Ovis aries: one gene and its partners. The protein of the gene in region 1 binds, or shares a complex with, the protein of each later gene. Links are inferred from orthologs where the notes say so. Each region holds a gene or a part of one and is shown on either strand. Other genes may lie near its edges. The genes, in order: FLCN, LAMTOR4 and LAMTOR3.

The links.
Region 2: FLCN (region 1) and LAMTOR4 share a complex: the UniProt entries of both Homo sapiens proteins name them as parts of the lysosomal folliculin complex. The link is inferred for Ovis aries from reciprocal best matches to the Homo sapiens genes FLCN and LAMTOR4.
Region 3: FLCN (region 1) and LAMTOR3 share a complex: the UniProt entries of both Homo sapiens proteins name them as parts of the lysosomal folliculin complex. The link is inferred for Ovis aries from reciprocal best matches to the Homo sapiens genes FLCN and LAMTOR3.

What each region holds. Positions count from the first base shown.
Region 1 is NC_056064.1:34,662,922-34,667,134, forward strand, and holds the start of FLCN (folliculin), read left to right. Parts: upstream 1-1,403; 5' UTR 1,404-1,543; intron 1,544-1,601; exon of another isoform or gene 1,602-1,738; intron 1,739-4,213. UniProt on the Homo sapiens protein: Multi-functional protein, involved in both the cellular response to amino acid availability and in the regulation of glycolysis.
Region 2 is NC_056077.1:36,680,891-36,685,237, forward strand, and holds the start of LAMTOR4 (ragulator complex protein LAMTOR4), read right to left. Parts: upstream 2,849-4,347; 5' UTR 2,794-2,848; coding exon 2,791-2,793; intron 2,299-2,790; coding exon 2,218-2,298; intron 386-2,217; coding exon 83-385; 3' UTR 1-82. UniProt on the Homo sapiens protein: As part of the Ragulator complex it is involved in amino acid sensing and activation of mTORC1, a signaling complex promoting cell growth in response to growth factors, energy levels, and amino acids.
Region 3 is NC_056059.1:25,128,239-25,131,883, reverse strand, and holds part of LAMTOR3 (ragulator complex protein LAMTOR3), read right to left. Parts: intron 2,902-3,645; coding exon 2,768-2,901; intron 1,493-2,767; coding exon 1,429-1,492; intron 1-1,428. UniProt on the Homo sapiens protein: As part of the Ragulator complex it is involved in amino acid sensing and activation of mTORC1, a signaling complex promoting cell growth in response to growth factors, energy levels, and amino acids.

The DNA of each region.
Region 1 (4,213 bases):
TCACGTCCGACTCTTTGCGACCCCATGAATTGTAGCACGCCAGGCCTCCCTGTCAATCACCATCTCCTGGAGTTCACTCAGACTCACGTCCATTGAGTCAGTGATGCCATCCAGCCATCTCATCCTCTGTCGTCCCCTTCTCCTCCTGCCCACAATCCCTCCCAGCATCAGAGTCTTTCCCAATGAGTCAACTCTTCGCATGAGGTGGCCAAAAGTACTGGAGTTTCAGCTTTAGCATCACTCCTTCCAAAGAAATCCCAGGGTTGATCTTCAGAATGGACTGGTTGGATCTCCTTGCAGTCCAAGGGACTCTCAAGAGTCTTCTCCAACACCACTGTTCAAACGCATCAATTCTTCAGCACTCAGCCTTCTTCACAGTCCAACTCTCACATCCATACATGACCACAGGAAAAACCATAGCCTTGACTAGACAGACCTTAGTCGGCAAAGTAATGTCTCTGCTTTTGAATATACTATCTAGATTGGTCATAACTTTTCTTCCAAGGAGTAAGCGTCTTTTAATTTCATGGCTGCAGTCACCATCTGCGGTGATTTTGGAGCCCCTCAAAATAAAGTCTGACACTGTTTCTACTGTTTCCCATCTACTTCCCATGAAGTGATGAGACCGGATGCCATGATCTTCGTTTTCTGAATGTTGAGCTTTAAGCCAGCTTTTTCCCTCTCCTCTTTCACTTTCATCAAGAGGCTTTTTAGTTCCTCTTCACTTTCTGCCATAAGGGTGGTGTCATCTGCATATCTGAGGTTATTGATATTTCTCCTGGCAATCTTGATTCCAGCTTGTGTTTCTTCCAGTCCAGCGTTTCTCATGATGTACTCTGCATAGAAGTTAAATAAGCAGGGTGACAATATACAGCCTTGACGTACTCCTTTTCCTATTTGGAACCAGTCTGTTGTTCCATGTGCAGTTCTAACTGTTGCTTCCTGACCTGCATACAGATTTCTCAAGAGGCAGGTTAGGTGGTCTGGTATTCCCATCTCTTTCAGAATTTTCCACATTTAAAACGACGTGCTACAGCGGGTGAGGGCAGGCGGGGTGAATCGCGCTTGCGCGCTCCCAGGCCCCGGTCCCCGCGTCGCGCTGTTCTTAAGACACCCAGCGGCCGCCTCCTGCCCCGCCCCCGGCCCGCGCGCTCCACCGAACACTGGTTCCATCGGAAATTTAATAAAAACGGTAAAACGAAAAGAAATTATAGCATCCTATATATCCGCGACGTCCTTTTTCTCTCTTCCTCCTGGTATGAGCCAGGAGTCCTAGAATGGATCTACTTTTCCTCAATTCTCTTTAAAAAATGCTCTTTAAATTAACTCATCCTCCCCTCTCCTGGAATGGTTTCCTCCACCCCTCCCCGCCCCCCACCGGCCCGCGCGGGCGCAACCACTCCGGGCTTCTCGGTGGGGGCGCGGGCTGGGCGGCGGAGAGGACGGGTCTGGCAACCGTTCTAAGGTTCCACTGGACTTCGGAGCTCCCAGACCCGTGCGGTCTTCCCGGGATGTGGGTCTGGCGGAGCTCCGCGCGCCTCTGGTACGGGGGCGTCTGCCGGCCGGCTCCCCCTCCGCGGCTCCGGGCGGTGGTACGGCCCGACAGAGTCACGCGCCCGAGGCGGGCGCGGCCCCTTGTGAGGGGACTTGGTGAGGGCAGCCGGGGTGCGGGGGGGCGGAGATCCGAGAGGGGCGGCGCGGTGGAGGGCTCGGAGCAGGGCGGGCCGCAGCCGGTCGGGTTAGTAGGGACGCTGTTCCGGGCGAGGGGGGTGATCCCGCTGGCGGGGAGGTCGGGCCGGGGGCGGGGTGCGGCGGCCTGGAGCTGAGGAGGCCCCCAGCTTGGCGCGTGAGGTCAGGCGCGGCCTCGTCGCGAAAGGGTGGGTCGCGGCGGCCGGCGGCATTGGGTCCCCAGCACGGGGACCCCCGGGGTGGACGTGCTCACGCGCCAAGTGTTTAGTGGTTCAATGCCCTCGAGGGTCACACGCCCGTCTCTGGTACCGGAGGCCGTGCTGCCGTCGGGGAGCTGCAGTCCGTCCGATGTGGGGCGAGAGCCGCCGTGAACTGGGCTTGTCTGTCGAGTGTTGGTGCCCAGACCGTCCTTAACCCTACTCGGTCCTCCGGCCGGATTGCAGGGGCGGGGTGCCCCGGGCGGGGGGTTGCTCACGTTCCTGTCGCGGTGGGAGAGGGCGTGGGCAGCACCCTGCCCGACAAGGTGTCCTGTTGAGGAGCGTCTCCAGCGGGGGAGGGTTTCTGCTGCTTCTTGTCTTCTGGAAAGCTGGTTGGGGAGGAGTGACTGCTGGGCATCCGGTAGAGATTGGAGTCGGAGACCCGGCCTCACGCTGCCCGAGGTAGGGTGCCTGGGGCCGTGGTTCCCTCGGGCCGTGGCTCCCTCCCAGGCCGGTGGCGCTCAGCTTTAGGCTGATGCTGAGAGAGGTATTTGGACCCGTTGGACATCACCTGGCTACTCGGGGCTGGAGAGAGATTTTCTTGAGTCTGTAGATGAGCGGCTGAAGAGCTAAGTTTTATATCGGCTGTGATCCCAGGAGTCAGAAGTCCTGTCAGACAGGAGTGAGTGTCACTCAGAAAAAGAGTAGCCTGACAGTTTGATCTTGGGTGCTCAGAAGAAGCTTAGCAGCATCACCTCTGCCCACAGGCTGGGCTGTGGTCTGAAGGGTTAAATGGGCCTGATGTGTAACCAAGAGTAGGAAGGATGATGACTTTATGTACTTAAATATCTTAAACTTTACAAGGATATTTAAATATAAATACTTGTGTCTCAAGGGATCAGACATTGGACTCTGTGATCACATCATCAACTTTCTGTGGGCCGCAGCTTACAGGGCGAGCCCCTGCTGAAGCACTGAGAACTGTGGGGTCCCCACGTCCTCTTTCATGTTGTCACTTGAGGTTGGCTATGAAAGTGAAGTCACTCAGTCGTGTCCAACTCATTGTGATACCAGGCTTCTCCGTCTATGGGATTTTCCAAGCAAGAATACTGGAGTGGGTTGCCATTTCCTTCTCCAGGGCATCTTTCCAACCCAGGGATCGAACCCAGGTCTCCCGCACTGTAGGCAGACGCTTTACCGTCTGAACCACCAGGGAAGTCTCGAGGTTGGCTGTAAGCAGCTTACTTTATTTTTTTTCCCATGCCCGCTGCTCTTAGAATTGGCTCTGATACTTTTCCTTGCCTAGAAAATGGCAGGTCTTGAAGCTGAGGTGTGACTGTGTTGCCCTGCCCAACTCGTGCAAATGGCCCCGCTGGCTGTCACCTAGGTGGGATGGTGGCCATGTGGCCCTGATAAGTATAGAGGTTCACGTGGACACCCTCCACAAGTGTTCCACTTTCTGTGGCAACAACTGTCCTCTCTCCAGGCAGCTCCTAAATTCACTTATTTATTTAACACGTGTTAACTTGGTGCCCGCTATGTGCAAGGAACTGCTGAAGATGAGACAAAGTATATGATCCAGTACAATAAAGCAGGGAGAGGGGAGAGAGTGATGGATGGGCATGAGCACTTAGGAGGGGCAATGAGCCAGTAGAGGTCTTCAGGCGGGGGGCGGGGTGGGGGTGGCATTCTGGACCCTTCTCCCTAGCCCTGCCTCTTCGTGCGGCTCTCCAGAATCTCCATGGAACTCAAGGTCTTCCAGCGAAGTGTCCTCTTGTCTTAAACTATCTTCTCTCCCACTGCCCACCTTCCTCTAGGACCACCCCCCCCCCCATACTCTGGCTCGCTGAGCCTTCCAGCCACCCCTCCTCCTGTCTGGTCGTCAGGCATCTCTTTTGGGTTGACTCTGCCGCTTCCGCTGTGACCCTCATGCTCCAGTGCAGTGGCAGCTGAGTGCTTGGCCACACTTTACTGCTGTGGTAAACACAGACTTTCCCCATTTTAGCCTGCCTCCCAGGCCCTGCTGTGTGGCGCGTGTCAGGTCCGCCGGGCTGTCAGCATCTCACCTCTGTGCCTCCAGTACTGCTGCAGCCCAGCGGATACCCCCCACCTCTAAGGTTTCCCCAGCAGAGGACACTTGTGTCTGCACCGCCCCCCCCCCGCCACCTCCGCCTTCTTGGTGCCCACACCCCTCTGCCCCCTGGCCCTTCCAGGACTCTGCTTCCCTCGTGGATTTTGCTCCGTGGTCCCTGGAGTGACAGTGCACTTTGTCTCGCTGCCGGTCATTCTCTGTCCCCTTGACCAGCTCTTCCTTCCTCTCACATCTA
Region 2 (4,347 bases), on another chromosome or scaffold:
GTCGCACACAAACTGGCTAGGATCCAAAGCCAAAGGAATTCAACAGGTCAAAGCTCAGAGATTAGAAGATGGGAGGTCTCCATTAAATCCCCTCCCTTCTCTTGCTTTTCTCATAGTTCTGATACAGGGGTAAATACCACAGGGAAGACAAGGATTCCAGAGGAGATGGTGGGCAGCTGGTAGGAGACAGGTGTCTTTCCCTGAGAAGAGTGGCCTTGGGGAGCAGCACCCCACCCCCCTTCCCCACTACCAGAGGCCGGGGCTCACCCGACAGACGCTTGAAGGGTACGCTCATGCCTTGGTGCAGCCGGAAACCGCAGGCCGTGCTGACGAGCTCAGAGATGGCGCTGGCAGCCTGCTCGTCATTCTCCAGATCCCCGGATGACTGCACACAGAGGGAGGGGGGCAGGAATCAGGGACAGACTGGGAAGCAACTCCAAGAACCCTTCTGTGTAACCTGTCTCCACTTTCCAACACTGCAACATCACCCCTAGTATTGGAAAAACTTAAAACTTTCCTATGATATTGTTGCCCCTCTTGATGCCATCTTGTTCCAAAATACTGGGCTTCCCTGAGGAAGTAGGAACTCTCATCCATTTCTGTCCATTACTGACCCTGTTTCCCCAATCCCTGAATCTTCATTTCTCTCCCTGTCTCCACTTATTTGAAAAAAATCACATTCTTACAGATTAGTGCCCACCCACCACAGCTAGAGTCCCAGGCTCCATCTTTTCCCATTTCTCATTTGTCACCCTGTCTGCAGAACCTGAAACATAAACATCCCTTTTCTCTCTGAACCCCTTCGGACTACCTGGCCCTTGAATAATGACGTCACAGTGGCCTGGGCTTCCTCTTTTCTGGTAATGATCTCAACTTCTTACCTCCTCAAGGTGGCCCTCCTGCTGGATTCTATACCTGTTTCCTCATCTGTAAACTGGGGACATCAGTACCTATCTTACGTGCTTGTGAGTGTCACAAGAGTACTGGGGCAAGATGCTCAGATTAGCTCCTGGCATTATCTATTTAACGGCTATTCAGTTCAGTTCAGTTGCTCAGTTGTGTCTAACTCTTTGCAACCCCATGGACCGCAGCATGCCAGGCCTCCCTGTCCATCACTAACTCCTGGAGTTTACCCTATTATTCTATATCAAACTTAGTGTTTAAAGCTGCACTATCAAAATCCCCCCTATCTCTCCCCCTCTCCAGTCAACTTCCTTTCTTAAGTCCCTGCTGGTTAAGGCACCATCATTCTAGGCTTGAGGTCAAAGTCTTACAGGATAGAAAAGTATCCCCTTTATTACTGAACTCTAGTCATTACAAAGACAAACCAATTCTTCCTTTAAAAACCCCTTCTCTCCTTGCTTCTCATTGCAACCAGAGGTTTCATACCTACATTTTGGCAACAGCATCCCCGCTTTTGAATCCTGCCCCTTCTGTCTTACCTTTACGCCTAACAGAACAATGCTACTCAATCACTTCATCAGCTTGTTTCTGTTCAAAAACCCTTCAAGATTAATCCAAATGTGTTAACCTAGCCTTGAAAGTCCTTCACAATCGGACCTTTCCTCACCATATCCTCTTCTTCCCCCAAATGTTTCCAAATCTTTTCAACATAACCCCATCACCAATTCAGATAGGCTGGTGTTACACTCCTGCAAAATGTCCACCTCCCAACTCTGAATATTCTTTCTTTCCTGTCATCCATCCATCTTTTAAGCCCAGATGAATTCTTACCTCGTCCAAGGAAGGTTCCTTGCCAAAACACAAGTTATAGTATGAAGGGCTGAATCCTTCACTTTCTGGACTCCTTCAGCTGCGTTAACCACATGCACTACTTTGAACTTTTAGCCTTAAGCCTTGTCTCTAGCTAGATTGAAAACTTCTAGAGCTGACACTGTATTGTACTACAGAACAAAATACCAAGCCTCTTCAATAAATACCAAATAAAGACATACTCAAGAGTAACTTGGGGATTGTCAGTTATCAACAAACCTGTAACTTGCTTGACTTTGGTAAAGTCAGTAAACCTCTTTTACCTCAGGATAGTTACAAGACTGAGAGTCCAGAGATTGATTAATTGATTTAATTCCTACACGCCAGGCGTGATACCAGGGAAAGACAAGAACAGAGACCAATCGGGCCAAACAGGGCAACATTAGAAGGCATCCTAGAGTCATGTGTACTTGGAGCACCCCCCCTCCCGTTTCCAGAACGCACCGCCAGCACCGCGCCTTCACTCAGCACCAGGTAGCCAAGCTGGTCGGGGATTCGCTCCAGCCCCTGAGTCAGTGCCGAAGTCTGGTGGGTAAAGATGCAATTAGTGAGCAGTAGGCCGAAAGGATGGCCCTTGGGCAACCAGAGTGCCTCTCTTGACAGTGCCCCCTGCCCCCGCTCCAGGCCTCTTTACCCAGCCAGGGCCCTTCCAGACCCTCTTCCCTCTACACGGCCTTCAACACTGATGCTCCTGAGCCTCCGTCAGTCCTCTCCTCCGCCCGGGCGCCACCAGCTTTCCACACGTCACCTTTGCTACCCCAAGGGCCCCCTCCCCAAACGCACCTGTGGCCTGCGCCTCCCCCTCAGACTAGTCCCCAGCTTCTACACACCCTCCCAGCGACTTCTCCTTGGCCTTCTACGTCACCACCCCTCCCTTCTCCATTTCCTTCCAGTCCCAGGGAGAATAGGAGGTGAGGCCGGAGGGCACGCTCAGGACCCCGCAACCAAAGAGATTGGGGGACAGGGGTAAGGAACCGCCGGCGCGGCGCGTAACTCCGCGCATGCGTCCTCACTTACCATCGCAGCTCTAGGTGCTGGGGGAGCTTGTAGCCAGACCTAGTTCCGGCTCCAGACCGCGGTCACGTGCTTCCACCCAGCGGTCTCCTCCTCCGGCCCTGCCCTGCCCGACTTTAGTCCCGCCCCCAGGATGCCGATTGGAGAGTGGCTACGTCATCAGACTTACTCTGCCAGTGCGGAGCGCCGCTTCCGAGACGCTCGCGCATTGGCCGCACATCCTCTTGAACATTCATCTCCCTTCCCCTTAGCCCCAGAGCGCGAAGGAGGGGGGCGTGTCGGCGGGGGGCGGGTCTGGAGGCGGGGCCGGAGGGAGGCCGGGCTGAGAGTTTGCGCCTGCGCACACGGGGGCGGCGGGGGCAGACTCCAACAAGGCTAGGTGGCTCGCAAGTGGAATCCTGAGCGAGCCAAAAGACGTAGATAGAGAGCTATTCAGATGCTACTCTTGTGCCTACTTCAGGCAGCTCTCTGACAGGAATTTGTTCCAAAGCGATTTTTCGTCCCGGGATTCTGTAAGAAACTGTGTGATAGAGCATTATACCTCCCTAGTCCATGGGGCGCTAACGGTCGGACACGACTGAGCGACTTCACTCTCACTTTTCACTTTCATGCATTGGAGAAGGAAATGGCAACCTACTCCAGTCTTCTTGCCTGGAGAATCCCAGGGACGGGGAAGCCTGGTGGGCTGCCGTCTATGGGTCGCAGAGTCGGACAGGACTGAAGCGACTTAGCAGCAGCAGCAGCAGCCAAGGCAGCTGCAATACTGAATATTCTCTGCCAGGAATAATTAGAAAATGACCTTGGGGTAATTTTTTAAATATATGAGTGTCATTTAGAAATTTTTTGTTTTAATTTAAGTAGTTTTTAGACCTGCTGCAATATTAATGTGAGGCAAAATGATGATAAACTAATAAAAAAGCTTGATGAGGATTTGGAGACATTGGGGCTCTCATACATTGCTGGTAGGGATGTAAAATAGTGCAGTTGTAGTGGGAAACAGATTGGTGGTTCCTCTGAAAGTTAAATAGAGTTACTATATTTATAAATGAAAGTTAAATAGGACCTAAAAATTCCACTCCTTCATACATACCTAAGAGAACTGAAAACTATGTTTACACAAAAACTTGTACACAGATGTTATGGCAGCATCACTCATAATCGCCCCCAAATGGAAAGCAACCCAAATATTCATAAACTGAAGACCAGATAAAGCAATGCGGCATATCCATACAATGGAACATTGTCCAGTTGTAAAAAGGAGTGAAGTACTGATCTATGCTATCACACAGATAAACCTTGAAAACATGCTAAGTGAACCAGAGATCAAATTACCAACATCCACTGGATCATCGAAAAAGCAAGAGAGTTCCAGAAAAACATCTGTTTCTGCTTTATTGACTATGCCAAAGCCGCTGACTGTGTGGATCACAATGAACTGTGGAAAATTCTGAAAAGATGGGAATACCAGACCACCCGACCTGCCTCTTAAGAAACCTATATGCAGGTCAGGAATCAACAGTTAGAACTGGACATGGAACAACAGACTGATTCCAAATAGGA
Region 3 (3,645 bases), on another chromosome or scaffold:
TAATACACATGATTTTTACAAAAAAAAAAAAAAGACCTTTTCCTGACCCAATTTTAATGAACTTTATCAAAAAACAGATAGATAGCAAAGAAATAATCAGATACTTATTATATAAATTCAGTAAAGCTAAGGCACAAATGGATATTTCAAAGGCAAAAATGTTTTAAAGATGCCTCACAGGACTATAAAACACACACTGAAAGAAGCAAGCTAATCTAGAAATCAGCACATCCAGCTTGTTAGTTTCCTAGGGTAGAAGGCTATATATCTTAAATACTGCTTGTTTTTTGCTCAACTAAAGATCTTCTTGTCTCACACAGCATTCAAAGCACCTGGGATTCACAAGGAAATGTTCTACGTACTAGAATACAATTCTGGAGATTATCATAATTTATAACAACTGATGATTTTATAGTATGATAGTGATTTACCACAACTGAGGTTTAACATATTTAAAATACCGACACCACTACTATCCTATACAAAGAGTTTTCACATACAGTATTTTACGGTTGAAAACATTTAGAAATGAAAGACACCCAACAGTTCATTAAATCTAAACCCCACATTTTAAACATGAGCAATCTAAATACAGGCTTCAGTGATACAGTCAGAAACAAAACTGGCTCAAATATCTTGGAAAGAAAAAAACAGAACAGAAAAGTAAAGCAGTGCTAACAGTGGTGAAACCTGGAGACAGACCTTTAAAAAATTCCACTTAAACTAAAACAGAGTAAAAAAAAAAATTGTAATTCAACTGAATACTGTTATGATTTTACACAAAAATAGCCAGTGAAGACCACTGGATATAATGAGATCTTACAATGCTCTCTAGAAAGTACAGCTTCCAAGTGTTAGCCCTCAAATTCTTCCACTTTGAAAAAAAATTGAGTATATTCATACTAGTCACACTCTTTAAATTCCCAAACACATTTACCTTGCCCACTATTGTTCAAAATTTTATAGATCGGTCCTTATGGACCTGAATTCATCTGTGATCATTTTTATGTTTTGTTTGGTTATTTTCTCCACTGATTTTTTTTTTTTTCTGGCTTTCTGAAACTGTTGTAATGTGAGCAAGATACTGTATTAAAGAGGTGAAAATAACATTTAATTTTCCTATCGTAAATGATCACTTATCTATACATCATCTCATCTGAACTAAAAAAATAATAGCATAAGATCAAGAAAGCAGTTCTTAGCTCCATTATACAGATATAAACAATACAATATTTGTTTATATAAATAATTGTTTATAATATATAAACAATTCAGAGAAGTTATATTTCCAGAAAACAAGGAATAGATGGTAGCGCTGGGCCATGCATTAAGGTTTTCTTACTCTAAATCTGTATTCATATCATATTAGACTGTTCAGATCCGGTATTATAAAGATTAAAAGCTGTATTTAAGGTAATTAAAACATACCTGTATTAGCATTGCTGCTGGCTATGAAACTCACTACCAAAGGTAAACGATTGAATTGAACCACCTAAAAAGAGAACAAGATCTAAAGTATAATGTTATATAGTGAAAAAGTGGTATAATTCAAATCAAATATCTTAATCTTTCTAAAAACTTTAAATGTGTAAGATACTAGCTTGACATCATGGTATTACGTCATGAAAGGTGAAAGAGCTGAAAATAAGTATTTCCGTAAAACAGACTTACTAATTATCTCTTAGAGACATTAATATCACTTAGTCTGGAAAGTTTCTAAGGTGGGGCTGTGTCTTCCTCATCTTTTTTTATCTTCTAAAGCCCTGCAAAGTGTCAATTACATAGTAGGGGCTCAATAAATATTTGATAATTAAGGAGCTAAAGGCATTATTTCTCAGTCATTCAAGTGGTTATAACGTCTCAATCTTTTGCCTCCTCTGTACCACTATAATTTAAATTAACTTACATTTAAGTTAACTTAAAATCAGCTATCTTTTTAAAAAATTTAGCTTCAACCTAACCTTTACTGACTAAATTAAAGGTCAGATGAGCTGGTTATCTTCTGCCTAATAGATACTAAAATACATAACCTTTAAAATAAAAAGTAACACATATGTATCATTGGTAGTGCATGACTTACACCCTGGGAAACTCTGCTCTATGGAAAGCAGTGTATGCTCAATTGCTCAATACTGGAGTGAGTTGCCATGTCCTACTCCAGGGGATCTTCCCGACCCAGGAACTGAAACAGTGTCTCTCATGTCTCCTGCACTGGCAGGCAGATTCTTTACTACTGTGAAGAAGTTACTGATTCATTCTAAAGAAAATACAGCTGGCGATCAAGAGATCTGTAGCAACTAATTTCTCTCCCACAAATAATAACCTCATTTATTTTATATATTTATATAATCAAGCCAAAAGATGGGATTAGTAGCAATAACAAATGTAAATAACTATCGTTTGACTTTCAAGGAAAATCCTGTATCTGTCACAACAACAACCACTGTGTCATTTGAGAAATCACAGTTGTTAAATAAGCTAAGGGCACCATCTACTGGAGGTATTAATAACAGTGACCTGACTTACCCTTTTGAGGATAATATATATTTTACTATTCAATCTTTTAATCTAATTGTTCATATTAATTCCTGAAGTAAAATGTGAAAAAAAATCACTACAGTTTAACATAACCAATTTGAAGGTGAAGATGTTAAAATTCCATCACTTTGGAAACCAAAATTTAGAATTATTAAAACAAACTATTCTACAAAGAAGAGAGAATAATAGTTGAAATCATCAGCAAACCATTTGATAATTATGAACTTACCTGGTAGGTGTTATAGTAACAGATGATACTTTTATTTTTTGAAAGTCCGAGTTTGCTCCCTTGGTCTGTCGCAAGGGCAAAAGTTGATAAGAAACCAGGTCTCAAAGCATGCTCTGGAGCATTATCATTGGCCACTGGAAATACAAGTGATTTAAGTAAAAATTATGTAGGATATACAGCGAGAAGACATTTAGAGTATTTAAAAAAAAAAAAACACATAAACTTGTAGAAAAAAAAAGCACAAGAGTTACGCTTCACAATGCTGAAGTTCATAATACTAATTGGGTCTCATCAGTTTAGGTGAGAAAAACCATTCAATCACAACTAAGGGAAAAAATACTGGTTCTCACAATTTTTCAAAAAATTTCAAATGAATACTAACCATCTCTATCTTCTTAATATCTAACTTAAAACAGGTTATGATTATCAGTACAATTAATAAGTTGAATATTCTGGTTAACTATGAGCTAAGTGAGAATATTGGAAAAAAGCTTTTAACCTTTGCTCTTACAAAACCCACAGAAGCATCATTTGTAGATGATGATAATTCTACACCTGGCCACTGATTTAAGTTTTTTATACTCACTGAAAGGTCTATGTGGAGTTGGTTGTACCGTAAGTGCTGAGCTTAAGGTTTTAACAGAGATCCTCAAAAAGAACACTGGAGCTGGAAAATCTGAGATTATTTTGTTCAAAGTCCTCGTTATGGAACTGAGAAAAGGAAGTGATTTGCCCATGGCTACCTATGTTCTGTGCTGGGTTAGGAAGCATACTGGATCACATATCAGAAGATGATGGGTTCTATGACCATCTTGTCACTGACTCATGAGCAACTTGGAGCTGACAATCTACTCTTTGCACTTGACCATTTTCATTAA